Lepisosteus oculatus: one gene and its partners. The protein of the gene in region 1 binds, or shares a complex with, the protein of each later gene. Links are inferred from orthologs where the notes say so. Each region holds a gene or a part of one and is shown in the gene's direction. Other genes may lie near its edges.

The links.
Region 2: WD40 repeat-containing protein SMU1 (region 1) and prpf38a share a complex: the UniProt entries of both Homo sapiens proteins name them as parts of the spliceosome B complex. The link is inferred for Lepisosteus oculatus from reciprocal best matches to the Homo sapiens genes SMU1 and PRPF38A.
Region 3: WD40 repeat-containing protein SMU1 (region 1) and zmat2 share a complex: the UniProt entries of both Homo sapiens proteins name them as parts of the spliceosome B complex. The link is inferred for Lepisosteus oculatus from reciprocal best matches to the Homo sapiens genes SMU1 and ZMAT2.
Region 4: WD40 repeat-containing protein SMU1 (region 1) and ik share a complex: the UniProt entries of both Homo sapiens proteins name them as parts of the spliceosome B complex. The link is inferred for Lepisosteus oculatus from reciprocal best matches to the Homo sapiens genes SMU1 and IK.

The regions. Positions count from the first base shown.
Region 1 is NC_090696.1:33,605,794-33,613,102, reverse strand, and holds the start of WD40 repeat-containing protein SMU1, read left to right. Parts: upstream 1-4,300; 5' UTR 4,301-4,396; coding exon 4,397-4,422; intron 4,423-6,269; coding exon 6,270-6,480; intron 6,481-7,309. UniProt on the Homo sapiens protein: Involved in pre-mRNA splicing as a component of the spliceosome. Regulates alternative splicing of the HSPG2 pre-mRNA. Required for normal accumulation of IK.
Region 2 is NC_090704.1:14,897,420-14,904,548, forward strand, and holds the start of prpf38a (pre-mRNA-splicing factor 38A), read left to right. Parts: upstream 1-4,124; 5' UTR 4,125-4,181; coding exon 4,182-4,311; intron 4,312-4,733; coding exon 4,734-4,893; intron 4,894-5,252; coding exon 5,253-5,374; intron 5,375-5,541; coding exon 5,542-5,627; intron 5,628-6,403; coding exon 6,404-6,517; intron 6,518-6,661; coding exon 6,662-6,768; intron 6,769-6,971; coding exon 6,972-6,998; intron 6,999-7,129. Other genes in the region: orc1 (origin recognition complex subunit 1), read right to left, coding at 599-947, 1,269-1,447, 1,642-1,769, 3,246-3,343. UniProt on the Homo sapiens protein: Involved in pre-mRNA splicing as a component of the spliceosome.
Region 3 is NC_090706.1:32,663,385-32,670,841, forward strand, and holds the start of zmat2 (zinc finger matrin-type protein 2), read left to right. Parts: upstream 1-4,435; 5' UTR 4,436-4,440; coding exon 4,441-4,539; intron 4,540-5,207; coding exon 5,208-5,298; intron 5,299-5,942; coding exon 5,943-6,066; intron 6,067-6,528; coding exon 6,529-6,602; intron 6,603-6,965; coding exon 6,966-7,111; intron 7,112-7,457. Other genes in the region: dnd1 (dead end protein 1), read right to left, coding at 462-591, 2,028-2,042. UniProt on the Homo sapiens protein: Involved in pre-mRNA splicing as a component of the spliceosome.
Region 4 is NC_090706.1:32,600,333-32,608,108, forward strand, and holds the start of ik (protein Red), read left to right. Parts: upstream 1-4,755; 5' UTR 4,756-4,936; coding exon 4,937-4,952; intron 4,953-5,823; coding exon 5,824-5,890; intron 5,891-6,552; coding exon 6,553-6,645; intron 6,646-6,910; coding exon 6,911-6,970; intron 6,971-7,169; coding exon 7,170-7,337; intron 7,338-7,656; coding exon 7,657-7,771; intron 7,772-7,776. Other genes in the region: tmco6 (transmembrane and coiled-coil domain-containing protein 6), read left to right, coding at 545-725, 1,178-1,272, 1,356-1,523, 1,856-1,981, 2,257-2,277; ndufa2 (NADH dehydrogenase [ubiquinone] 1 alpha subcomplex subunit 2), read right to left, coding at 3,091-3,182, 3,840-3,946, 4,380-4,480. UniProt on the Homo sapiens protein: Involved in pre-mRNA splicing as a component of the spliceosome. Auxiliary spliceosomal protein that regulates selection of alternative splice sites in a small set of target pre-mRNA species. Required for normal mitotic cell cycle progression.

The DNA.
Region 1 (7,309 bases):
CTGGAGCTGTTGAAAGAAGTTTGCATGATAAAATAATTGTATGCACCATAATTGTGCCTTCTTTTTACATTTTTATTTTTATAATCAGCATCTGTTTTCAGTGTGTTCCATTGTGGCCTATCAAAACAGGCTTACGTTATGATTGAGTGATTCTAATTTTTCAAAAAAGCAAGATAAATGCACAGGGATTTTTGTTAATGTCTCAAGAAGTTGCTGGCTTATACAAATTTGTGTTGCATCTACATGCTTTACATGCTACATTACTCAGATATATTGACCTTTATCAACTGAATGGAGGCTAGCCAGCAACAGCAGTACCTCTTTGTGCCATTCAGTCCATTTCTGATATCCGAGCTATAATGTCTGGCTTGCATTCCTTTATCAGCCTCACATCAATGTACAGTATGTGCCAGGATGAAAAAGACATCAACTGCAATTGACATTGAGTTATAATGAAAATGCGAGGGTCTTGTCATTTGAATTTGGCTGATAGAGGATTCTTTAGTGAGGACAGGGTAGGGCACCTATCAGAAGAAGTCCTGAGTTAGCTGAGGTGGAATTGAGATACAGGGAGTGCTGTTAGTACACTATTAGAACACATCATCAGTGTTTAAATACTCCAGGCTTAAATTATGTTTATTCCTGAGCAATATACTCCAGAAATCCAATGGTGATACCTGCCAAAGAGGACTTCAATAAACATACTGTAGTTTGAAGAACTCATTTGATTAACTGTATCTTGCAGTGGCAAGTGCAAAGATAAATCACGTCAAAGCATTTTAATAGAACCATTGACTTTTTTCATCTTTTTGGATGTCTACCTACAAAACCATTAAACAGAACTTGATTTTTTTTTACAAAAATCAAACTGAATTAGGATTGTAGGACAGTATGTCCATGTGAAAGAAATGTGAACTTATTGTAACTTTTGCAACAAGCGAATGGAAAAAATGTTGCATAATTTGCCAAAAAATATCATCAATACCTTACATAATTACATATAAACAGAGAATTCATTGAAGTTTCTCCCTCCTCCTTCTACCTGATATTTTTTTATGTGACGACCTGACACATTCTTGGATGACAATTCAAAAGTTTTCCAGGTAACTTTCTTCATAAGTAAGCTCCCTCCAGAGCTCCATTAATAAAGTTATTTTTTCTTCGTTTTCTTCTAGGATAAGTTTGCTGGACTTCATTTTTTAATTGTTACACCATTTTTATAGGTCTGTGCAACCTGATACGTGCAATAATTTAAAAATGACTTCTGTATGGTACAAAATAGCTATAATTAGTAACGACTGCATTCAGGCTGTATATCTAGCATGACTTTCATGTCTGATGTGTTTATATCACAGTGAAATCAGATTTTCTTGAAGAGCCTTTGAAAATCAGGTGTGTAATAATGGCCGCCTTTTTTTTTGGGATTGTGTTGACAGGTTTGGCATGTCATCACACTGACAACATTCACTGTCCTGCTTTTTGTTTGAAATGTCGTCTGTAGTGATCAGCGACACCTGTCTAATTCTCCTCTCTTTTATATTATTAGGTATTCCATTTGTCATTGCAGGGAAAGGTGATTTAACCATTTTGGTAATAGAGACATAAGAAATCTAGACCGTTTGTTTTTTCAGTCACTCCTCGATTCAAGGATGTCATCTGGCTACTTCTCGAAAGAAGCCAGGGTTGAGGGCTGTAAAAATGTGACTGGGTATTTAGCCTATTACAACCCTCTGTGTAAAATGAAAAGATGAATTGGAAAATGCCTATTGCATTTTATGAAGGGGTTTTAGGGGTGTACTCATGATGAAGAATTAAGTGTTCGGTACATGCTTCCGACAGCTTTGATGTTGCCTCCTTGTAGGAAGTTACCTTCAATAGCAAATAATGAAACAGGGATGACCAGAATTAGCTGGAGCAGAGGTTAGGTATGGCAGGTACTGTAACTATCATTGCCAGAGGGAGATGACATGATTTTAAAAGCTACTGGGTAATCAATGTGTTTGTACTCGCATAATGTAGTCCAGGACATGGTTAAGTGATCTGTTGTTGGGAGTGTCTAAACACCCCTTACAAATACACCATCGGAAAAACCATGTGACATTTTGCAATATCATGATAGAAATTGATTTTATTGAGCAAAATATAAAAAACAAAACCATCTAACCATCTAATGGTAGGTTTTCAAAGAACTTTAGGGAAGGGAACATAATTTAACAGAACTATCAAAGGCTTAAACTAATCATGTTCTGCTTGTTTGCTAGGGAATGTCTGTCTGCAGGGATTGCAGAGATTATACCAGTCAGATGAAACTGTTGCACAGAATAAATTAAGTCTCGACCACTATTGTTCTGCGTCTGGGGCTTTGCATGTTGCTGGTTGTTAACGTCTTCCAACTCATTTAACAAAACCCTAATTCTCTTTACCATTTACACCATTGTACTTCGCCAACATTTGTACGTATACATTAAACACGAACTTACTAATGGCGGGCCTTCATGTTGTATTCAGATTTTATCACGGTTTTTCTCCTTAAAAACCATTAGCGTAGTCAGGAAATTAAAAGAACAGAAAAAGTTTACCAGGGCATGGAGAATGTAAAAAATCCCCCCAAAAGTAGAGGAAGCTGAAACATTAAACCTCTAAAAGCCCCATCTTTGTCCTTTTTTTCCACAGAGTGCTTTAAGACCCATGTGATACAGAGGTGTGAGGCTTTCCCAGTGCTAGCGCTGAAGGTATTTTCAGGTATCCATTTCCTTCTGAAATGCATTGGCCTGTTGCCTACTGCCCAGGTATTCAGGGAGCTCCGGGCACAATAGGGGGGTTGCGTGTAACGATCTCTTATAAAGTCCCTGCACTTCATTCTTTTCCCACATCCAGATATCGGCACACTATTCCTCTGCCTTTTTATGCACTGTGGGAGCTCGCTGTCTCCGGATAGTGTTCCAGCAGCATGAGAAAAGGAAACGCTTTTTTTATTTTGCCAAAGAGGAAACCAGAAAAAAAAAGAGTTTAACAATCGAAAACTCATAAAAACGTAAGAGCAGGCCATTGGGCCCTTTGAGCTCATTTGGTTGCTAGTGGCCGGAGGATCTCATCCAGTCGTTTAGTGAAAGGAAGCTGGGGGCGCCAAGCTTCAACTACTCCGCCGAGTACCTCGTTTCAGAATCTTGCGACGCTTTCAGGAGAAAACCAACTGCGGTTTTCAGTTTAAATCCCCCGTAAGGAAATTAACAGGAGCATATCTTGCATTTTCAAAAGGATCATTTAAAATGCTGATAGCTTTGTATCATCACATCTGTGCTTTCATTGTAAAAACGATTTTTCAAAACATAAGTAGGACAATATTGTAATTGCAATAATGCACATCTAGCCCTTGCAAAACCTGTAATGAGTATGTACACACTCTGAAAGAATATTCTTGTGAGCATCTGAGGGGATCACCCTTAGGGCTATCATCTACTGTAATCAGAAGTGATTTTTTTAGCTAAATATAGATGTGGTATAAAATGTATTTAACAGTTCTCACTTTGTATAAATCAAAACTAAAAGTGCTGAGATGTGGAGCATACCCATTTTTCCCAAGTGGTATTCTTATCAGTGTGTAAAATTTCAACTAATCAGAAATGAGTGCGAACTGTCATCTTTACTGTGAAAGTGTGCACGTTAGCAACGCAATAACCTGAATCCTTTTGAAAGGCACTCTTATATTCCTTTTAAACCCATCTTCTGTACAGTTGTAAGCAGCAGCTCCATCTACTGGAGTCTTCATACCTTTGATGGCACTTTTATTTAAACTGTACTACACGAGTGAAATAATTACCTTCAAAACCAGGATCAGGAAACCTATTATATAAATAACTCCCAAAGTGGAACGGGATTTTTATTTTAAACCTGTCGTATCGGTGTTGCAGACAATTTAAGTCAAAGCAGGAGTAAATTAAAGGAAACTTGTGCTGGTCAATTTTAAAGCGTGATTATAACCCACGCTTTAACCCAGGTACAGGATTTACCACTCCAATCATACCAAATGCACGAGGACGAAATGTTGCTTATTTTTATATAAACATTTGCATCACGTTACCTTTACAGCTGATTAAGAAACAACTACCCATATTTATAAATACGATGGTGAATTAATAATCTCATAAAATAGAACAAGACTTTTCAATGTTCTATTAAACTTGCAACACAAGTAAAAACGTACATTTTTACGCTTTATCTAGAACAAACCAAACGGTCTACGGAAATAACACTATTGGCCTAGAGGCGATCATGTGACGGTTGTATGCTTGTCCTGTAGTAGTCACGTGACAGGGGTGGGTGTACGATAGTTAATGCCTGTGGAGGATTGTGCTGGAGTTTCTGGTGTATTGTTTTGTGTTTTTGGGTCTGAATCATGTCCCTGGAGGTGGAATCGGCGGAGTAAGTTACTTAAAATCTGACCTGTTTTTTGGGGGGGAAATTAAGGCATTGTGATTTTAAGTTTAAAAATGTGTTTACACGGTAATCGTTACAGTGTTTGCAGTAAGGTTTTTAGGCCTAGCTAGACCGGTGCTTCAGAGGATACTGCATTGCTGGCAGTTTGTTTTAATGCCTTAATCTTTGATTGAAAAGTGTATAATCACACTTAAGGTTCGTTCTTGTTGCCTAATTTGTAGTGTTAATCCAAAGGCGAAATGCAACGGCGCGCATTAACGTACTAGTGCATCTATGGGTGTAACTTTACAGTCACAAAACGTGTGCTTATTGTAGGTGGATTTCCTTTGCTTGTTGAACTCCGACCTCCATGATAGCAGCTAAAATGTTGTCTATTTGATGGTTAACTGCAAAAACAGCTTGTTACAAACAAAAACACTCTTAACGGTATGATATTTTAATTAGTCGATGTGTAGTTCTTTCAGCACATCGTATAAGTATGTACTCACATCAGGAATGACAGCGAAATCCTGTGCAAGTATTTATACATGTTTGTAACTTGCGAATTGTAACTGCTAGGAATTCTAAGGGTACTTTTCATTTCTGTATTTGTAAAAGCTCCTTATGTGTTGTCTGAATAGGCTGCGTATTTTGAACGAAAAAATAATTAAGAAGCGAGGCAAAAAAAACAAAACCTTAACTATTGCCATACAATTTCTCACAAAGCATGGGTTCCAACTTAAACGAAATGTTTCAATAAGTCTGGTATTCTTATTTTTTCGTCAGTAATACTCTTTAAGTAGTACCTCTCCTTTATGATAATGGAGTCCTATGAAAGTGCTTTGCATTTCGAGTCTTCCATTTAAATTAGATTTTAGCATTTAAATTCCAGATGTGTAACCTCATTCCCCCTTTCTGCCTTATTAAAACAATAGCAATATGGATCCAGACAATGTATCAATTTATAGAGTTAAGATACCATAAGGGTTAAGACTTGAAAGAGCCAAGTGTACTTTCACCTGTGCGGTTGGACTTAACCTATTGCTAGAGCCTTTCCTTACCAGCAGTCATATCACCCTGCACTCACAACTGGCAGCCCACTGAAGCTAAGCAGGCGTGAGCCTGGTCTGTACCTGGATGGGAGACCTCCTGGGAAAAACTAAGGTTGCTGCTGGAGGAGGTGTTAGTGGGGCCAGCAGGGGGCACTCACCCTGTGGCTCATGTGGGTCCTAATGCCCCAGTGCAGTGACGGGGACACTATACTGTAAACAGGCGCCGTCCTTCGGATGAGATGTAAAACCGAGATCCTGACTCTCTGTGGTCACTAAAAATCCCAGGGCGTTCCTCGAAAAGAGTAGGGGTGTACTCCTGCGTCCTGGCCAAATTTCCCATCGGCCTTTATCAATCATGGCCTCCTAACAATCCCCCTCTATGAATTGGCTTCATTACTCTGCTCTCCTCCCCACTGATAGCTGATGTGTGGTGAGCATTTGGGCGCACTATGGTGGATGCTGTACATTGATGGTGGTGGAGGGGAGTCCCCATTACCTGTAAAGCGCTTTGAGTGGAGTGTCCAGAAAAGTGCTATATAAGTATATAATAATAATAATATATAAGTATATAATAATAATAATATTATTTCCTAGTGGTTTGCAAAGAACAGTTGTGTTTGAAATTGTTCGTGTTTGAGTTTAAAGGGTGGCTTGGTTCATTCATATAATTTTGCCTTAGTATTGCCAATTTCGGGCAAAAAGAAAAGACAATTGTGAAGTTGTCGTTACAATATAATTTTTTGATTAGTGTTAATTGTTCTATTAGTGTTTTCATTAACTGGGCGTTGAATGGCTTTTCAGCGTGATCCGCCTGATAATGCAGTATCTGAAGGAGAACAATCTTCACCGGACCCTGGCCACACTGCAAGAGGAGACCACGGTGTCACTCAATACAGTGGACAGCATTGAGAGCTTTGTGGCTGACATAAACAGTGGTCACTGGGACACTGTTTTACAGGCCATTCAGTCTCTTAAGCTGCCAGACAAGACACTTATTGATCTCTATGAGCAGGTACGTTTTTGCAGGTTGATGTATTTCTTAATTTCTTTTGTTTACATGTTTTCTTATGTTGTTTTATTTTTCAGTCAAGTTTACCATTAACTATTAACTATAAAGACATCCAAAAAGAGCAAGATGGGAAACAGGCCTGTGTGAGGAAAAACAAAACAGAGACACCTTCTTAACATCATTGAACCCGTCACTCTAGAAATGCTGTTAGAAACTACTTCGTCTCACAAAGAGTAGTTCTTCAGCTGTCTGATTCCCAACTACTCTGCCCCTAAACACTCGACACATTTAAAAAGGGCAGTCCCCACTCCTGAAATAAGAGGAGATCTGTAACGCTGACGGTACAAACACAGTATTCACATTCACACCTGAACCGGATCAAAGAAGACAAAGCAAGTAAAAAATTCTACTTATATTCATACAAGGCATGTGTGTGATATTGGAGGTATTTTTTTTATGGGGAATTGTTCTGTGTGAAAATTGCGTGAATTTTGAAGTGTTTGATGCTAATTAAGTCCCTCCTCCCTTATCTTGGTCTCTGTGTGGGAGTGAGCCAGGAGCCCACCTCATTACCCTGCCCTGTCATGAGGGGCTGTGGTGCCTTTCTGTCCTGTACCCAGGTTGCTTGTATGCTTGGAAGAATGGACTTTCGTTCCTTATCCTGAGTATATGAATAGCAGAATGTTATGAGTTTTTCATGACGCACAGTTTGCACTCACAACTGTGAAACCTTTTAAAACTTTCTAAAGCCAATACAGTCCAATAACACCGGCAGGTAGTGTGTGGCAAGTTAACCTCTAGATGAACCTCTTCCAACCCTGGGTCTTGCCGC
Region 2 (7,129 bases), on another chromosome or scaffold:
AGTCCCTATTGGCAGCCCAATGATGCTAAGCAGGTGTAAGCCTGGTCAGCATGTGGATGGAAAACTCCTGGGAAAACTAAGGCTGCTGCCGGTAGAGGTGTTAGTGGGGCCAGTAGGGGGCGCTCACCATGTGGTCTGTGTAGGCCCTAATACCCCAGTACAGTGATGGGGACACTATACTTTAAAAAGGCACCGTCCTTCAGATGAGAAAAATAGTAAAATAGTCCTGTCTATGGTCATTAAAAATCCCAGGGCGATTCTCAAAAAGAGTAGGGGTGTTACCCCAGCGTCCTGGCCAAATTTCCCATTGGCCCTTACCAATCATGCCCTCCTAATAATCCCCATTTATGAACTAGCTTCATTACTCTTTTCTCCTTTCCACTGATAGCTGATGTGTGGGGAGCATTCTGGCACACTATAGCTGCCGTTGCATCATCCAGGGGGAGCTACACATTGGTGGTGGTGGAGGGGAGTCCCCATTACCTGTAAAGCACTTTGAGTGGAGTGTCCAGAAAAGCGCTATATAAGTGTAACAAATTAATAATAATATTATTATGGCAAATGACCACGCGAACCACAATTTCAAGCAAGCACTTACTGCTGAGCTGCAGCTTCTTCCGGACGCCTGGGGTGGAAGAACACTTGGCCTGCCGTCGGGCACTCAGGCCTTTTGACTGGGAGTACTTGGAGGAGGAGTGGTGGGACTCAGCCTGGCTTGAGGCTGGCACCCCCACACTCACCGCCCCAGCCAAGGCCCTCTTCATCACAGCAACGTCGGGGGTGGGCAGGCTGCCTCTGGGAGCAGGGGCCAGAGAAGCCCCACTGCCCTGTCCCACCTGCTCAGCTGTGACCGCTCTGAAGGCCTTCCCGTTCCAGGACAGCTTGACGTAGAGGGTGCCGTTGCTCTGCTCCACTGGGAAGGGGGCTTGTGGCTCCACATGTCTCACCTGGAGAACACAGAGTGCCTTCAGACTCGTCTCTCCTTAAGAAATCACCTTCAGAAAGGAATGCGGATCTCCCCCAAGCTTTGCCATGTCATAAGCCAATGCCACCCTTATTAGCAACAACATTTCACTGACTATTTAATTAAGGTTCTAAAAAGCATTTTAAATGAATTATTTTTCACATTGTAAATAAAATCCAAGTAGCAAGATGTTTTGCCCATGTTCTGATCACAAACAGAAATGTTTCATGAGATCAATTTTTAAAGTCTGAGGAAATATCCCAGATCACCTTCAACATACATGTGTGTCTGTGATTTTACTCACCTCCACAGCACCAAGAATAGTCTCCACATCTATTTCACAGTCACAGTTAGTCACGTCATACAGGAAGATCTCCTGAGGGTGGGGCGCCCTGCCCAACATCTTCCTCTTGTTAGAGGGCACCTCCGAGAATCGGGCAAACCACTGCACCTCTGCTCGCTTATTCTCTCTTTCCCTAGGACCTAAAGATGAGAGAACCATGCCATTACTTTTAACCTCATAAGTGTCTCAAGGAAAAAGAAGGGCTAAAGAAACACAATTTGCTACAACCTCACCACCTCCATGAATTTAAGCGATCTTTAAATTCTTTCAAAATACTTTCATGGTACACATGCTCTATATCAGACTGGAGAAGAAATGCCTGCCAGTGACTCACCACTGCCGTAGAGTTTGAGTAGTTTTGCAATAAAGGGATTGTCATCATCATCGCCTTCGATCAAGATGTACTGGCCGAGCTTTATAGAACTGGCTTCTGAAGTGCCTTCTGCATACATGAAAAACCCACTTGAAAAACAGAACAAATTTCGTTCAATTTAGTTTCAGAACCAATATTAAGTTTTATGTGTTAACTTAATTGAATTAACTTACTTAGCACTTTTTCTCTATGTATCTGCAACTAAAGTGTCTTTGTGGACTTCATGTCCTCCCTGAGACCTGACATTCAATTACAATTTGTGGCTTCAAAACCCTCATGGTTAGGTGCCATGATGGACTCTTCCTATGACGGACAGCACAGACAGTATGTGAAGGTAGAATGTTTAGTTTACAGCAAACAAAACATATATAACATTCCACGTAAGCCCCAATATTTTACTGCATCCCAAGTTATCATTCTTGACTGTATAAACAGAGAAAAGAGTTAAAACCTTAGGTTATGGACTTGATCCAGAAGTCACACCAATGTGATACACAATATAGTTACATCCTTTGATCTATGATATACACAAAACCTACTGTTACTGCACTTCAATAAATGTAAATAACATTGTTCTTAAATTGTTATTCTCAGTATTGTATAAATTCTCTTTAACCATTTACCCTACCACTTTAAAACTACAGGTTAGTTTGCTACCTTGCTATATGCCACTCAGTCACACTCATAAGGTGTACCGCAGGACTCTGTCCTAGAACCCCTACTCTAGACCTGTTCCTTGAGTCACTTCCACATATACTTTTTACCTCTCGTTTTGTCATCAGATTTCTCCCTCTGGCATGCTCCTGTGATGACTTCAAGAGTGGTATGCAGAATCACCCGCTTCCTTACCAACTATTCCACACAATTCCAAATGATCAGACTATTGTAACTCCCTCTTTTGCCGACTTCCCTGTTAATACTACCCGTTCACTCCAACTCATCATGAATTCTCTTGTTCACCTTTGCTCTTCACTTGCTACTCCATTACCTGTACCCCTCCACTGCATCCCTGTTACTGCGATTCAAGACCCTACTTCCCTCCCACCACTCTGCTCCTGCCAAACCTGACTCCTGTATCTCTCCCTTCAACCTCCTCAGCAGTGCAATGAACTGCCAACAGAAATCCAAACAGCTCAGTCCCTGACCACCTTTTGGCACCTGCTCAAGACTCACCCGTTCAGAAAGGAGATGTGTCTTCTCAGTACTCAGCTACATACCTCAGAAGCTCAATCAGCCTGCCCTAAAAGCCTTTTGTTTTCAATTTGACACTGGAATTCTCCTACTCAACTGAAACATGGAACTCACAGCATTATTGATCCGTACTAGCACTACCTAGATAGGCATGTTGTTGTTATGGGATTTTACTGCCTCACTTGCAAGTGCAGGTTCTGAGATGCAAAAAGCAAAATAGGCAAAATGGACACTTCTAACATGTAACCTTTCTTATGTGTCCTTGTACTAAACGATGGGATGAATGCAGTGTAAAAACACAACTTATTGATAATGGTTTTTAGTAGAAACAAGCTATCTGATTGCTAAGGAAGCCGAAGTCTTGAACTACTCACTCGTAATAGAAAAACTGCAGTTTCCTGTCAATGAGCGTAGGTTTTCCATTCCAAGTGTACACTCGCCTTTTCCTCTGCCTGGTTAGGTACCGGCTCATCTTTTTATCTCCTAAGGTGCACGAAAAGTAATAAAGCATTCAAAACTGAAATACTGAGAAAATGTGTTTTTAAATCTTGATTTTGAAGAAGAAAAAGTTTCTGAGTAAAGTTATATTATATCAATAGTGTCAACTGAGGTATTCAATTGAACAGTATGTTTAACTGCGTTACTGTCATTCTGTACATAAAAAAAACGTAACATGGAAACGACAGTGTTAATGACATTATGTGACTGAATTTTGAAAATGATGCTCATCTTCATGGAAATGATGGTGAGTAGTCGTCAACAACCAAGAAACAGTGAAATCCATGTGAACATAAACACATTGGACTCTCAGATTCCAGATGGAACCCAGTTATTCTTTCTAGATGTTACGATTTAAAAGATGTACTTACAAAATGAATGTCTAAGCAGGAAAGTAATGCCGCTTGATTTCTTCAGTGCACTTCAACTGATAAAAAAAGTTTGTCCAGGATGACACACAGGTAATAAACTATACCTCAAAAGTTTAAATAACGAAGGTGTGATTTTCGTTGTTAAAACAATCTTTAAAACGTAATTTTCTACTAACAAGAAGTGTTTCTTGTCATTTATTAATTCGCCTAAAATACACCAGACTTCATACAGTTATACAGTTATATCACTTCCTTTACTTTATAAGAACTACCCCCACCGACACACGCTACACTTTCCCGGGCTGGGTGCTCTGTGCTCAGTGACGTCATGTCACGTGACACGAGCGCTTGAAACACACGCCCTTTGACTCCAGAAGTGTATGTTTTCTGCACCGGAAACACTTGTGTTGCGAAGTGTTTTGAGAGGACTGTAGAGGAAAAATGGCTAATCGAACTGTGAAAGACGCTAATAGCATTCATGGAACAAATCCACAGTATTTAGTGGAGAAAATTATTCGCACACGGATCTACGAGTCAAAATACTGGAAGGAGGAATGCTTCGGACTTACGGGTGAGCAGTAGCAGAGACACGTGGTAATAATTGAATAAGTAGATATGGTAAAAATACAAGTGTGAACAGAGCGCAATTCGAGTAATTACAGTAATATCCATGGTAATACTGTCCATTAAAAAAAATTATAAACACACTGCTATTATTTGAGGCCTGTCTGGTTTTAATTTAATCTCTAGTCCAGATACAGAGATTTACAGCTGTTTGATCCATTTGACCAATTGTAATCCACCGTTTAGCTGCAAGCAGTATTAGCAATAGTAATTGGAAAAAAAACATAAGTGAAGTGTTGTGAGTAGGTGGCAAAAACAGTTTAAATAACCTCACAGATTTCGTTAATCTGTGCCTTCATTAAAACGTTACAGTGTTTTTGTAACGTTTGTCTGCTGATTGTCTTTACCACTTTTATTTTCTATGTGCAGCTGAATTGGTGGTGGATAAAGCCATGGAGCTGAAGTACGTTGGTGGAGTTTACGGAGGGAATATTAAACCCACTCCTTTCCTCTGCCTAACCCTGAAGATGCTGCAGATCCAGCCGGAGAAAGACATCATCGTGGAATTCATAAAGAACGAGGATTTCAAGTAGGTGTAGTGCACTGAGCTGAAAGACAAGCTATTGTAAAGAGGGCACGCAGAGCTTCTAGTGAGAAACGGCAGTATGTGGTAGATGTTTTGACAGTTCCATTGTGTTTTGGAGATGCTTGTTTCTTGTTTCTTTGGAGATGCTGAGCTCACCATGCAGGTCTTATCGTTAAGTTTTCTTATAGTTTTTCTACCTTTATGCACTGGCTTGTATTCATCATTTATCATACCATGAGGTATTCTTTCTGAGGTAACATTAAGGATGCTACATTTGTATGCTATATTTTCTTCCATTTAAAAAGTTCTCGGTACTAGCCCTGCTGAGGATACAAAGTGAAAGTCACATTTATTCCCTGTAGGTATGTCCGTTTGCTTGGAGCCTTGTACATGAGACTGACTGGTTCATCAGTGGATTGCTATAAGTACCTGGAGCCATTGTACAATGACTACAGGAAAATCAAAAACCAAAATCGGAATGGAGGTGAGCTTCTTTGTTGTGTGCATGCAGTTGTTTTTAATATTTTACGACAAGGCCGTATTTTGTGGCAGCTGTTTTGTTAGAGGCATATGCCAAGTGAGATTAACTGGAGTTTAGTACTTTTTTTTTTAAATGCTTGTTCACACTATCTTGCCTTTCCATTTCTCAAGAGTTTGAGCTGATGCACGTGGACGAATACATTGATGAATTGCTGCACAGCGAAAGAGTGTGTGACATAATACTTCCTAGGCTACAGGTATGTAGTAGCTCTTTTCATTCTTCTGCACTCTTATAGCAGGCAAATCTCTAGGAATAGCAGATTAAAGAAGTTCATATCACTTTATAATAATAATTAATAATAATTGTTACACTTATATAGCGCTTTTCTGGACACTCCACCCAAAGCGCTTTACAGGTAATGGGGACTCCCCTCCACCACCACCAATGTGTAGCATCCACCTGGATGAAGCGACAGCAGCCATAGTGTACCAGAACACTCACCACACATCAGCTATTAGTGGGGAGGACAACAGAGTAATGAAGCCAATTCATAGATGGGGATTATTAGGAGGCAATGATTGGTAAGAGCCAATGGGAAATCTGGTCAGGACGCCGGGGTTACACCCCCACTCTTTTCAGGAAACGCCCTGGGATTTTTAATGACCACAGAGAGTCAGGACCTCAGTTTTATGTCTCATCCGAAGGACAGTGCCTGTTTTACAGTACAGTGTCCCTATCGCTATACTGGGGCGTTAGGACCCACAGGGTGAGCTCTCCCTGCTGGCCCCACTAACACCTGTTCTAGCAGGAACCTTAGTTTCTCCCAGGAGGTCTCCCATCCAGGTAGTGACCAGGCTCACACCTGCTTAGCTTCAGTGGGCTGCCAGTTGTGAGTTGCAGAGTGATATGGTTGCTGGCATGGCCTTACATGTCTTGACAAGTTTCTTTGATTATGATCGCGATTAAAAAGCACTTGCAGAGTCGGAGTCTGCTGAACAGGTGTGCAACGAAAGGTGTGCATCTGTTTTGCAGAAGCGGCAGGTGTTGGAGGAGGCAGAGCTGCTGGACACTCGGGTCAGTGCACTGGAAGAGGACCTAGACGAGGTGGAGACCAGCGAGGAGGAAGAGGAGGAGGAGGAAGAGAAGGTAAGGGGAACCAAGAACTCTGAACCTCGGTCTGCAGGATGTTCTTCTATCTCACAATTGTTTCCTAATTTTGTTCCCGTTTTCCACTTGGTGTTTCTTCTGTTGCGGTGAAATGCGGTGACCTCCTGCGGTCATGGCTTGCAGCCGGAGAGAGGCCAGTCTCCAGAGCCCCACCGACGAAGCTACCGCGACGTAGACAGGCCCCGCCGATCCCCCTCCCCTCGCTACCGACGCAGTCGGTCTCCCAGGAGGTAAGCGCCTCGCTCTGTTTTTTCTTTCCCAGCAAGAGTGCTGTGATCACTTCACTTGATTAAAGCTGTTGTCATTTGAACGTTTTTCTCAAGGTGTTTTGAGATCATCGGTGTGAAAATAGAATAACCATGTTTGAGAAAGTGACTCCAAAACAGCATAACAAAATCTTAAAACTTTTTATCTTCCTCTTTTGTACTTTCAGACGGAGCAGATCACCTAAGAGGCGCAGGTAATATAATTTTTGAATTCCTTCTTTTTATGGCAACATTGATTAATCGGGGATGTAATTAAGTTGAGATTTTTGTAGTTACTAATTGACACTTATCACTGGCCAATTCCCAATCTATGAAATATAAATTA
Region 3 (7,457 bases), on another chromosome or scaffold:
GGTTTCAAGTTCCTAGTATATCCATAATTTTAATTTTACATGCTTCATAAAAATCATCATGCTCAGCTCATGTTGAACTAAACTGTCAAATCTTAAACTCCTAATTAAAGAATGCATGTTAATAATGCCTTATCTGTGTTCATTACTGTTGTGCAAAAATCTGCACCATTTACATTCACCATCTAGGAAGACTTGGACATTTAATAAAAATACAACCACAGCTTTTCACTTGAAATGAGTTTCTGTGAATACTGTAGATGGGCTGTAGAGTAGACTAAGGACATGAAATTACCTTTTCAGCCACAGTAACTTTAACTCAGCTCTTGTTCCAAAAGAATTCTTAATTGTTAAGTGATGCAGTATAATAATTAGAAAACCATAACCATAAGTCATAAGTTTATGACTTCCCTATCACTTTTTAAAATTACTGTTTGGATTCAGGATGAGAAAACATGGCTTACCTGCTGGTGGACCTCCATATATTCTCTGTCCATTGATCTGCACAAGAGAGACTCCTGTGCTGTTTTTCCAAGCCTGCAGGGATTCCCAACTTTCTTTGTTCACAAAGTTTAAAATACTATGGGAGCTATCCTAAAACGTCAGAAAGGAAACATCATCTTTACAAGGCACATCTGTACTTAGTATGTCCTGTGTACAGGAGAAATAACTAATGTAATAAGTATATTATATATATATATTATACGAATTCCTTGCCTATACAATGTATTGTGCCTTTTAGCCCAATTTGAATGTTAGGAAAACAAGATTGTTTAAAACCAATATACCAAAGTTAAAAACCCTACCGTTTTGAACAGTTCTATGGCTTCCCTCCGAAATCTACAATCCCAGCATTGTACCAACCAGGCCCAGCTCAGCTTAGACTTTGAGATCAGATGAGATCAAGCTCTAAGGTGGTAATAAAGCTGTATTTATCCAAGACTGCCAGAAAACGTTCTCAATTTCTTTAAGTGCTGTTGGCTTAGAAAACAGTCAACACTAACAAATGTTTACATTATGCTGAACGACAGTAACGTACTGTTATAAAGAATTAGAATAATTCCTTGCTTAAACAAGGAATTCTCACTTCATTTTTTAAAGAAAAAATCTACTTGAACCAATAATTTAACAATCAGGTTGTTCTTTTGTCCTTCTCAACCATTGTGAAAAGAGTAATTACTCTATTAATCTGGAACAGTATTCTTTTTGATAACCTCCCTCCTAAGTAGATTTTTAGTCTATTAGAATCTTATGGAAACTCTTCCTCCAGTACTGACCCTTATATTTCATACACTGGCAATTAAGCCATATATCACTTAATAACTAGAAATGTACCAATTAAATCACACATCTCCGCACTCATATTCAAATATGTACAGATACGTGGGTAGGTGTGGTTTGCCATTTTAAAAGTATTGAAGTGATTTAGTTCTTAGTCTTAGGGGAATGTGATAGGATAATGTGTAAAAGCTTAAATATCGCAAATAAATCACTGTGCAGAGACGGATATTTTATTGATAGTGATAGCAGTTTCAACAACAAATACGACACCACTAAAAACGACATCTTAAAATTAAAAATCTAGAAAAGGTTAGGACAAACTGGAAATCGTTTCAGGAAAATAGGATATATAAGAACAACGATTCACAAACCTAACATTAAAAAAAATGGAATATGCAAAAATAATTTAAAAAATATTAATGCATAATCAAACGGACAACTGACCCAAAAACCGTGTAAACCTCAACCACCCATGTTATAGCTTTTGTTAAGTCTATGAACAGCAGGTGCGCAATTGTATTTTTCGGTGAAATTCCGGCATAAGCGTTTTTGAAAACCAGAACCTGCACAAAAAGTCAAATTAAATGAAAAGGTCTTGATCATTAACAACGTTTTACGTAACTGACCTCTGGGAAAAAAAGTGTCGGCAACACCTTATTTTAGCAGATTGTAACGATTTTGATATTACTGAAATAAAACACCTGCGTATTTTATTTTTTCAATGAGAAAACGTCTAACCTAAAACCTACCGTTGTCGACTCCATTTATAATTCTTTTTCAAAATCTACTGCAACACAAACTGTTCTCAGCTTCGCAATCACTTTTGCATACAACTTTTGACTTCTGGAAACTTCTACAAGCGAGAAAGTATCTTTCTGAATAATTTGCATGTTGTAGGCGGTGCTGCAATGAAGGCGTTGAAATTCGTAAATAACGCACGAATTGGTAAAATCACAATTCAGGGAACAGTTCTTCTGAAATGTAAAAAACAAATCACAGCATGGTCACAACAGCAAAAAAACAAAATCTTACAACATTAGAAAAACGACGTTAATCATGTTCTTAGAATTGGTCTGTGAACGTAGATTATTTCCAGATTATATACGAGTATTGTGCGATGTTTTATGACAACGTTTTAAAAAAGTACATGACATAAATAACTTATCACTTGACTGCTTTCAGGAATTTCACTATAAAATGTTACAAAGCAGATATCGTCGCGTTTCACGCTCATCTGCGTCAGTTACACCAAAACACGTTTTCCGGAGAAGGTGCGATCTGCGTCCACGTGTTATTAAGACGCACTGCCCATGCTGGCCGGCGCTGGAAACGTGGTTACAGACAGCGGGCGTCCACACGAAAGCAGTTATTACGTTTTCCAGAATGTTATATATTTGCTGCTGTCGAGTGATAATCCGTTCATTCTGTGCCTGCAACGGAAGATCGAGCGTAGGATTTTGCATGAGCACGATGAGACGAGCACGTCTCATTGAGCATGATTAAAATCAAATGCGTCAAAGGCCAGAATCATATTCTCTTAGTCGTTTTTCTTTTTTACTTTTTGCTTCTTCTAGGACTTTCCTCTGAAGCTTTTTCGCTCAGTTTCGACCTTCTCGGCACTGGCTATACAAAACGCGGGCTATATCAGCGTAAGCTGCTGTTATCAAATTGTCTTCCTTCTCGCCCGACGTATTTCTGGACCATAATGAAATTCCCAAATAATACATTTGGAAACTACCGCACTTTTTCGCCGTCGTCCTGCGATCGGAACGTTAATGCCTTGGGCAACGCGACGTAGGCTGCAGGACGCGTGCCTGAACTCGAGGTCAGGAGGAGCTGCGGTGTTGATCCGAAAAGACTTCAGCAAGAAGACTGTCGGTTTGTGCTGTTGCATACAGTACCACCAAAGGGAGCTGTCAGTGAGGGCTGTGCGCAGTGTTGTTATGAATCAAAACTACCTTTTTCTGTTTAATGTTGTTAAGAGTTTTCGTCTTGAGAAATACGTTTCGGTACAGTTTTTTTTTTTTTAAATCATGGTTTCAGGTACAAACGAGAGACCATACAGCCCTGTTTAGCAGCTTTGTTAGTTATTAAGTTAATAACTTATAATAAAGTTAGATCAACTTAGATTGGGTATTTCGCAGCTGTGCTATGGATCAATTCCCTCCCATAATAGAAAGGAATACGAGCTGATTGTTACACTGGGAGCATTTCTACTCTAACATAATCAAATTATGCACAGATATTTTTTTTTACAAGGAACTGCAAGGCGTTTACTTTTTTTCGACAAAACCTTAATTACGTCTGCTTGAGACATCCTGTAATATTGTCTATGGGGTCTTATTAATTAAAAGTATATAAGAGTTCATGACCCTTATATGAGACCGGAATGCCCCCCCACGACAGGCTGTAGTGGGACTGGGATGATAGGATTAAAATGGATGTTAATGTTTACACAGCTGCAGTGGAAGTTAGATGAAATACTACAGTGGAGACCTGGTGGCTTCACTACTTATCCTGGACACTTACAGGACGAGAAACTGCAGATCATGCACTGTGAAATACAATAGCCAAAGAGAAAGCAACAGTAAGGAAGTATATAAAGAATATATAAGGTGGTAAAAGAGACAAGACACAGAAAAGTGAGTCACAGAATAGTGGAACTATTACGTTTAACAAGTAAAACTATTTAAAAATTAAAAATGTTCGAAGTACTTACTCCTTTTGTAGAGCAAATATTAAATTACATCTTGTGTGTGTTAGTTTCTGTAAGAAATAATTCTTTTGTGAGATATCAGATATCTGTCAATATCTGCACCACAAATGCTCAAGAAGATTCATGAAGACGAGGGACTTTGCCCGATATTTCCTGCCCAGTGAGGAGTGCTATGATTATAACTTTATAAAATTTATTGTACAAATGTTTTGAAAAACTATAGTTTTGTGGTAACTGATTTTAAACGTAAACTGTTATTTAATACTACTTTTATTACACAAAAATGTTTTTCATCCGTTTATTTTGTACACTGTAGCCCATCCTCATCGGAAATGATGTAAATACTGTGTGTTTCGGAAAAACAATGATAATTGTTCCCCCTTTTGGAAAGAACTCCTGTCCAGAGGGTGGCAGTAAGGTTAATGGTTAAAACGCAGGAAACCCCAATGAACTCTAGGCAATACAGAAACATGGGTATAGTTTTACGTCTACATAATTTACGACAGCCGTATTCTGTTATGAGCAAAATGGCGTCCGGTAGCGGGGTAGGTTTTGAGTGTTCTTTCTTTTTATTTAAAAAACTGCAAGTTTCAATAGTTCTTCAACAAAGAATATTTCCGTTTTTAAAATGTCTACTTCCATTTATCGCGTAAGCGGTTTAATTTGATTATAGCCGCCTTACTGATAAAGTAGTTTAGCTACCAGACCTGATGGTTTAACTAATAATACCCCAGACTGGTGAGAATGTTTTGTTGGTTGAGTATTTTGTAACTTGCCTGAATTATGTACAAATTGTAAGATCATTTCCTGGGGGGTTTATTGAGATGGAGATGGTGTTCTTCGAGATCGTGCTATGTGATATCTAAATGTATTTTTTTTCCAAATACTTTCATACATATATGTGGACAACCATATACATTTTCTATACATCAGACATCTAGAGCAGAGTGACAGTTTGAAGTCCATGTGCATTTTTAAATGACACCTGAAAAGCTATTGCCTGGCTGAAGTCGATTCGGTGTTTTAAGTTTCTGTTCAAGTCGTTATTCTCCTAGGAAAAAAAGTAAAAAGTAAAACAATTTGCTCAAATGACTGTATAGCATTTTTTTATTAACTAGTTTTAACTTCGATATCGCATATATGTCGCTGGACTTATGGTACCTTCTAAAGTTATCGTGTATTTAGTATTGATGCAAAACTCTTTTATTACTAGACAAAAAATGACTTCCGAAGGAAATGGGATAAAGATGAGTATGAAAAGCTGGCTCAGAAGCGCCTCACGGAGGAAAGGGAGAAAAAAGATGGTAAGATAGCCTCTGGCATCCCCTTAGTTTTAACTTTAAACACATTAAAAGTTTTTTTTTGTGTTTGCGTCTTACAGAATCTTATAAGGTGCTAATCATTTTGACTCCTGATGATGTGATAGGAATAAGTACTTTGCGCTAATATAAATACTGTTAAAATAACAGAAGCATGGTGTAGTTTTGAGTCAGATTCCTCCTGGTCATTGTGGTCAATGAGAATTTGTTCTCATTTCACCATTCCATAAAATGCACGAATAATGATTGTGTCATGTAACGGCCCTTTGACTGTAAACTCACAGGTTAGTTACCACACACACTGAAAATTGGATGACTAAATGTGTTTGATAACTTGAGCATGTGGGTACAAATACTATGTTTAGCCTTATTATAGAGGTCCCAAATAACATATAGAAAACCTTCACAATGTGTATTAAAAAGTACTGTTGTAGAAACATAAAATCATTTTTTTAGAGCTGCTACACTAAATCTCACTCAGGTGTAAATAATAAAACCTACATATTTGGGCTTCAGTATGTAGTGGAGGTATGAATAAAAATGTTCTGGCGCCATTAACTGCATTTGTTACATTACAGGCTCATTTAGTGAAGTTTGGTTCATGTCTGGTTGTTTTATTTTTGCATCAGGAAAACCTTCTCCGCCTGTTAAACGGGAGCTTTTACGACACAGGGACTACAAAGTGGACCTGGAGTCTAAGCTCGGGAAAACCATTGTCATCACTAAAACCACCCCGCAGGCGGAGATGGGTGGGTAAGTACTTTCAGGCTCGTCGTCCCACCTGATTGCTCATTCAGAGACAAAATCTTGTTCTAGGTTTTGGTCTTTACTGTTTGTTTGAGATTTCTAAGTCCTGAAACTTATTGGACAAGTGTGTGGTATGGTGATATTCAAATTGTACATACACAGAACAGAAAAAACAATTAATAGTTCACTACTTTCCACTTTTCCACAGGTTTATGTACACCTGATAAATTCTCTTGCATTCAGTTCTTTTAATAGAATACTCTGTAGAGATGGCAAGTTGAAAAAAAGCGAGCTTAGTACTGTCATTGTTAAATGGATTAATCTGTTATACCACAATATAGGAATGCATTAGCTTGAAACTGAAACCAAAGATTAAGAAATGTTATGAGCTGAAAAAGGTATTTTTGGTTATTTTTTCAATGAAATCTTAATTTAACCCCCTTTGTTTGTTTTTCTTTGGGTTTCCAGATACTATTGTAATGTCTGTGATTGTGTAGTGAAGGATTCAATCAATTTTTTGGACCATATCAATGGCAAGAAACGTAAGTACAGACTTTGAGGAACATACTGCTATTTAGCATGAAGGTTTATCTCAGAAATTCTTGCTTTTGCTGTATTAATCTAGATGGTTCTGGTTCTATAGATGTCCAAGACATTTTGCAACACTAAAATAATTTTAAGAATCTCACGTTTGCTTCCTGTACTCATCTTTCATTTTTAATTAAATGTAGTAGAATAATTTACAGAACTTTACAGTGTCTTTACAGAGCAGTATAATTCTGCAGTGCCAATCCTCTCCTCACAATATTATGCTTGAGCATGGATTTCATGTCTTATTTTGCCGCTCTGAGGGAAATTCATTTTTATGAAGGTGTCGGAAATCTTGTCGCTGGCTCTGCTTTCAGATCAGAGAAATCTTGGTATGTCAATGCGGGTGGAACGGTCATCCCTTGATCAGGTGAAGAAACGTTTTGAGATGAACAAGAAGAAGCTGGAGGAGAAACAGAAAGAGTATGACTTTGAAGAGCGCATGAAGGAACTCAGAGAAGAGGTAATTTGCCAAGGGCTTCCAATCACAGTACAGTTTGTTTGCCTTATGCAGTGCAAGTCTAGGATCTACCCTTGATCCCGGAGAGCTGCAGCACCTACTGTTTCAAATGGTAACCAAGCCCCTGGTACCATAATTGAACAAACTGTTGCTCTACACTGGTTAAATTTAACTTATTCAGCCACTAATTCTTGGGTGGCTTCAAAGTGTGAAATATTCAGTGCCCTACAGAACTGTGGTCAGTAACCAGTGTTTTCAGTATTTTTTTTTTTAGTCTTAATTCTAATCTGGTCTGCTTACTTTGGCCTTCAGGGTCTTTCCCTAACAGTTTGGCTTTAGAAAAACTCAA
Region 4 (7,776 bases), on another chromosome or scaffold:
TGGAAAATACACCATTCTTAATCTCCAATACAAATCCAGGTACAACAGTTTCCACTAAGTGTGGAGGTGGAACTGAGTCTTGGAGTCAGTACAAAGAAGTGAGGTCATGTGCTAAATGTAGGTTAATGAAAATTGAACATAACCTAGTACTAGAACAGATTTTTGTGTTTCTTTCCTTAGATGTAGTGGAAAACATTTGCAGCATCCTTAGTATATTTATCAAGCAAATTCAAACAAGCCGGTATTTCTTTGAAAAAAAATCTGAGATGTGGGAAAACAAACAGAATGTGTTTAAAAATAAATGTTTTGCACAGCAAACTATTCTAATTAGTTTGGCAATTACTTTGTATGGCTGATAGAGTTCTCTGATGTTCAAAACCCTTTGTTTGATTAATATTTGAAGGATAAATACAGGACAAACTTTCAGAGTTTCAGTAAAGTGCTGTTTGTGTTCTTTCTGGTGAAGCATATATCCCTCATGGAAGCCAACAGTCCTGCACGTTAAAAAAGTCCACTGTTTTTTGTTTTTTTGAAAATGCTGCAGCTGATTTCTCCCTTGCTCCGTTGCCTTGGGAACCTGCTAGCGGGCACTGGAGGCGAAGTTTGTAGAGAGCAGATCAGGGACAGCAGGCTGCTGGTGGCGCTGTGTGCCTTTATTCAGGCTTTTCTGCAGACGCGGACATACATTGCACGAGAAAGCCTATGGGTCATGAATAATCTTACAGGTAGCAACCAACTTTTATATCTGAAGGAAAAACTTTTCTGGAAGTGAGTTATTATAGTGCCTAGTTTCCTTTTTGGATTTCCTGATGAATATGTAAGGTGATACTTGCTCTAGCGGAGTACACAGTCACCTTCTTTGAATAGAAATGTTTGTACTACGAGCGTTTCTGCTTGTTTTTACTTAAACTGAGGTTTTGTATAGTTTAAGATGGTATATGGTGTCGATTATGGCAGTTCAAACTGCTCATAAGAAATCAGTCACTGCAGAAATTTGGTTTCTCTCTCAGATGAGATTAATCCACTGTTGAAGTAGAGTTTTTAATCTTTAAATTATATCAGTATCTTACCTACCAGTCAGTGACCCTGTATTCTCACGTGCTTGACTTGGGTATGCTGGGGAAGTGATACATCTGTATTAGCCTTACATGTTTTGTGTTCCGCTGATTCTGTCCAGCTGAAGATGCCATATTCTGCTCAGTGCTGCTATACTTAAACCTGGTACCTGTGTTGATTGAGCTGCTGCCATTCTCCAAGGGCATAAACATTATGGTAAGAAACGTGGGGATCGGGTTATTTCAAGCACAGTATTTTTTGTAATGCATTTTAAGGTTTTTATGCCTCTTTCAATTTAGGCCCTGCGTGTACTATGCAACACTGCTAAGAAAGGACCGGAGTACTGCCAGCAGCTGCACCAGAAAGGGGTGCTGTCAGCTCTTCACACAACGCTCAGAATGGCTGATCCTGAAATTATACATCTTAGTCTAGAACTGCTGCACATGATGGTGGCTGGCAGCTCCCAGGTAATGTGATACCGAAAGCCTAGATGATTTTTTTCCAAGTTATTAGAACTTGTTATATTTTCTCCATATGTGTGCTGTGACAGAAGATACTGGAACTATTCAGAATTGTGTTTTGTCTTTCTGGTAGTTGTATTTCCACACTAGGGCTGGTAGCACCTGCCCCTCAGAGCGTAGATGATCAAAGCCAGACTAAGCCAGTGAGGCATGAGTTTTATTTATTCCTGATTTTTCTGTTGATTTAAAACTCTTTTCTACTATTTATAGATTTGAACATGTATGTATTACACCAGCTCATAACAGCAAATCTTTTTTTCCATGCACTGTGTTCATAGGTTGCTTGTGAGCTTGTGAAGCAGGAGGGGATTTCACTGCTAGAGGCCATCCAGTATAACAGCCAGGAGGAGTTAAGGATTCGGGCCACTTTCATTCTGGATAGATATCTCTCCCCACAGGTCCTGGTAAGGACAGCTGCTTGAGCAGATGTTTTAAGGAGTTTGCGGAGGAACTGATTTCAAAATGTTGTTGAGTGCGTGGTTGATTCCACAGATGTGGAAACTAACAGAACTTTATGTAAAATATCCCTTATTGACTTTTAATGTTGGTTGTAGAATTAAATCTAAGAAATGTGCACTACAGAAAAGTTATTTCCACATTCATGTATGAGATATATCCATCATGTATGCCTGTTGTTTGAGAGCAGTAAAATGAGTTTAATTTTTTTCCTGTTTTAAAGGCAAATACTCCTGTTGAATGACACCCCAACCATGTTGTGCTAAGTGGCAGTATCAAGAAGAAAGCTTTGTGTCATAAATGCTAAAGGTTCTCAGGGAACATACTTTAATTTTGCAATGCAAATTTCTTTTCTATATGGCTATTTTAGCCATTACGCTTATATGGAAAAGATTTTATGTTATAAAAAAATCAACTCAAATACAAACTGCTGCAAGTCACATTCATCAAAAACCCTGTTACAGAGAATATAATTTATAATTTTCTGGTTATAAAAAAACTTTTCCAGATTGTCATCATGAAATAGAAAACGAATTATAAAATGGTAGTTTAAGGTAGACACCTTAATATAATAATAATAATAAAAAACTTTATTTTATATAGCGCCTTTAAATGCAAATAATGCAAATTCACAAAATGCAAAAAATGTTACCAACTTAAAAGATATTCAATTATAATATAAACCCAAGAGAATCTGGTCATTTAGTATGCCCCTGAATGTATTTTATAAAAATTACCCTTGGCTCTGCCTTCCCCCCCACCTTCTGCAATCCTCTAGTCCTTGAAAAATAGCAAATGGAACACTTAATTTAGTATGCATTATAATATGAAGTGTATTTGTTTTATTTTAATAAAATATTCTAATTTAGTTTGTGTGTGATTTATTGAAGTTATAGTTTTGTTAAGCAAGAAAACGCAAAAACTCATTTGTCATTAAATACATTTTATTGTACACTGGCATATCAATGCATTGGGGTTGAAACAGACCGTTCACCCAAAGTCCACAAAATACAGGGCACAGACACCACCTGCACAGAACTTCCTTTTCTGCTTCTCTTCATGGTTTAGCATTAACCACAGACTCCAATGCCTTGGCTACTTGGGCAGCATTCATGTTGTCCAGAGCTACACTCTTTTCTTTGCCAAACTCTGCAACACAAAAGCAGCAATTCAAGCCCCGCTCGGTCGTCCTATGAGTTAAAACAGAGCAATACCCTTATTTTGATACTTGTGATACATCTCCTTATGCCCCAAGTGTATGCCAGATGTTAAGATCTCCATGTTCCAATACAATTTCGACTTAGTAGACTAACTTGAGTTGTTTTCACTTCCTGAACAATCAAAGATTATATTTGTAGGTGGAATCAAAAAGGTCTAGTTATGTTAGTGTAGCAGCAATTTCTGTGCAGCATATTCTGTTAAACAGTGGTGTCACTAGGAACAGAATAGGCATGGTAGATATGCCTGGTAAATATGTCAGAATTTAAAGAATCCAAAACAGTAACCAAGGTTCCAAAGAACTATATTGATGTTTGGATTTCATTCCTGCTGAATTCTGAATGTCCTCAAACATCTATCATTCAGTTTTGATCCATTAACAAAAGCCACCCAAATGTAAGTTTAAATCAGTACATCTAGCAAAATGACAACTGTATATTTTAGGAATAAATTAAGTAAATGGCTCCCAATTTCCTTCTTCGTTATGGCCCAATGCCAGCTGAATTCCCTTACAACTGGATTTCAGTAAATATGTTTATTAATCCGCTGATCGCCGTACACCTGTTCAAGTACTGTACTCGGACTCACCGTATCGTGCCCACAATTTAGGCTGAACACCAGAACACTCCCTGATTAAGATTGGAAACTCAGGGTTAGCTTTCTTCAGCGTCACATAGTGCTGCTCGATGAAATCCCTAACGAAAGAATAAACAATCGTATATTTTTAAATGTCACTGTCTGCCATTAACCGACCTGTCCAGCATACTTTGCAAAACATTTAGGAAGAATTAGAAGGTAATAAATAAAATACTGCTTTTCGTTTTTACATATTATCCAAATGTACAATACCAACCCCGATGAGAGATATAATAAACTTATTTATTTATTTTTTATATAGTACATTCCTGTAAATTGAGAATTTGCTATACCTAGTTGAAACAGCAGCCAGTGACAGCGGTTCAAAGACTGAGTGTTTATAAAAGCACTGTTTCCAATGCAAACAGGAGATACAATTTCGGCAAAACATAAAACATTCTATACTGTTAAATACAGTTGTACGACTTCTCCAAGCAATCAAATTGCGATAAAAAATGTCGTTCTAGCAATACCTGCTTTCTTAATACATACCTGACCCCTTGACTACCCGCCGAGGTCTGACACAAATGTAAGCGGATTTCTTTAAGGTTTCTCGCAAGATTTGACCCAATACTTCTTGCAACAGCAGCCATGATGTTCACCTTTAAAATCTACAGATTTGCGATACTCTCTACCACTTCCTTTAGGAGCACCGCCTTACCCAATGAGTGCTTAAAGAGCATCCCATTGGAAAGCATCATAACCAATCACATATCACATTTTAGAGGGGCGTAAACAACTCACCAATCAGCGTGGGAACAAAGTAGATAGACTCTCAGTGATAACCAATTACAGCAGGATGCTTCTGACCAATGTCTTTAGGGTATTTCAAGGCAATCTTAGTCGATAGTCAGAATTGCGACAACCGTGATCGATTATTTTTCCTGTTCTGCCATTTCCGGTAGTGAGTTTTGTGGACGACGGATGGAGTAGTAATTTGCTGTGTTTAAGTGTCTAAAATAATATTTGCAGATTGATTTTCGGTTTTAAAACGTAAAAAATAGATGTAAGGATCCTCTTTGAAGCAGAGAAACGTAAACCGCTTCAAAATGCCGGAACGAGACAGTAAGTTTTGTTTTCGCATTTTACCTCAAGTACTTGAATGTTGCTGTTATTTTGTTTACGAGGATAAACGCGTTCTTTGTTATTGTATAATTTCAAACGTACTTACATTAGTTAATTAAATCCGATCGCTTTTATGGCTAGATAAACACATCGATTGAATATTCTCTGTAAGCTTGGAATTAGGGGCAATGATTTACTTGAACTGGTTTATGTTGGTGTTCAGGGTTTTTGTTCTTAATTAGTACTGTCGCCCAATGTCAATTTTTTTTTGTCGGTAAATGTTTGTATTATTTAAATGCACGACTAACTATAGCCAGTACATCGATATGCTTGACAACTATCGTTGTAGTTTTAATAGTGGGCCTCACTACTATTGTGACTCTGCTCCGTTGTCTATGGGATTGTACGTGTGTTCAGAAATTAATTTTTATGTCGTGACTACCTCATAATGTTTAATTATCTTATAATAGTAGGCCTCATAATTGTGTTGTCAAATTTTGTAAGCATTGATCTTCTCAGCATTGTAACATTCAAAGAAATCTTTGGATTTAAAAATCAATAATAGTTTTTCGCTGGGAAATTTGATCTCTTCAGAGGGATTCAAGAATTTTAAGATACGATTTCTAATTAACATCTTAATTTTAAGATTATAAGAGCATGATTTCAATCAAGTATACCATAAAGGGAGTTTGTATAAACCTCTTCCTTAGTCAGTCAGGCCTCTAGGGACACATTTCTAAGTGCTATTCTCTGGCAAATGTTATACATTTCTATTGTAATTTTTCATTAGGCAGCACCTTATTCAACTGGGGTGTTCTTTTTAAAACGTTTTCCTATAACCTTTATATTTGTTTTCCTTCCCTCCCCTTAGGTGAGCTGTACTCAAATCCCCTGGCTCCAGATGGCCATGAGGTGGAAGATCATCGGTCAGCTCTCCAGTGAGTATCTCCATATTGCTGTGTATTTGTCTTATGATGTCTTATGAACTTATGATTTCCCAGCTTTCCATTGTTAGCAAGCTCCTTGTTCTTGTCCAAAGTAATTCAGGAACTCAGAGCATATTTCAGAAGCATGGGGCACAAAGCGGAACTGCGTTGTGGACACACACACACACAAAGACTATAAATAGCCTGGACAGCATGTCATTAGAAATTTGGAGAACCTGCAAACTCCTTACAAAAGCTGTTCCAGTACAGAATAGAACATAGCACCCAGTAGCAGTGAGATAGTAGCACTGTTGTACCACTGTGCTGCTTCACTAATTATTTTACGCTCGGCAATCCATATTAAATATGGAGACTCTAGTTATTTATCAAAATCACTCAGTTTTGCACTTTCTTCCAGTGTTATTTTGACAGTCTTATATAATCTTGTGATCAGTGCCCACTGAGGAACTAAAATAAACCCACCTGAAAAACTTATATTCTTAAAATAATCCAGTGCAAGGTATCGAGTACATTTTCATTTCTGTCATACTTTAGCCAAAGAGTTAAATATTACAGAGGTGGATTCAAATACGTTGAGTGTTTTTTAAGATGTTGTAAATGTGTCGGAAGGTTTCTGCTGAATGATCATGTTAATGTTCTTTTCTGCTGCTTAGGTCCAAGCTGACAAATGAAGATTTCCGAAAATTGTTGATGACCCCGCGGGCTACACCTTCAACAGCCCCTCCTTCAAAATCTCGCCACCATGAGTGAGTACTGATGGGGCACTTTTTTAGGACGGGAAACCTTAAGGTTTTCAACAACTGCGTCTCATAGAACGTCCACAGCATCGTCTGCTTGTTCCTGTATTTGTTACACCTTTTCTACATCTGTCAAAATAGTTTTAATATGGTAGTAGAAACACACAGTTTGTCTTATCAAAAGCTACAAATTATTCGACTATCAATAATTGTAGTTATCTGCAAATGGAAGAGCCTCATGTTTCTCATACTAACTCGCCTTGTATGGTTCCAGAATGCCAAGGGAATACAATGAGGATGAAGACCCAGCAGCTCGAAGAAGGAAGAAGAAAAGGTGATTTTTGTCAATTTTATTCAACCACTAAGCAAAGTTTGGTAAACTATTCTGATGAATAGCTTCACTAGGTAGTGCTGTAAATATCACCCAAGGTAAACACATAGGTAAAGGAATATAGGTTGAGCATAATTGCATAAATTGAACTCTTTTTTTTTCGCTCCATTTCATTGTTTTAACTTTCCTGCTTCACTCGCAGTTACTATGCCAAGCTTCGACAGCAGGAGCTTGAACGAGAGCGCGAGTTGGCGGAGAAGTACAGAGACCGAGCAAGGGAGAGGAGAGATGGTGTCAACAAGGACTATGAGGAGACTGAACTCATCAGCACCACAGCCAACTACAGGGCTGTGGGCCCTACAGCAGAAGCGTGAGTGTCTCTCAGCCCGTTCCTCACACACCTCTCCTGTTTCCTTCCACCCTACATGAAGAGAACTGCCCTTCTCACTAGCCCTCCCTTCAGAACACACTTCTTATCTATCCTAATTGCTTGTCAGCCAAGAAGATTTATATTTGTGAAGTTCTGCAGTAGCTCTATACATCTAATATGACATTCCTTTGTTTCCATGTTCTTGCAATGGTGTTTTTGCATCGATGGAATTTTTAGATTCCAGCAGGTGTTTCTTGAATACATTAAAATGGTCTTTTCTAATGATCATTTTATATTCTCCTGTTTTGGCAATTAACAGCGATAAATCGGCAGCAGAAAAGAGAAGGCAACTGATCCAGGAGTCCAAGTTCTTGGGTGGTGACATGGAGCACACTCACTTGGTGAAAGGGTTGGATTTTGCCCTGCTGCAGAAGGTGAG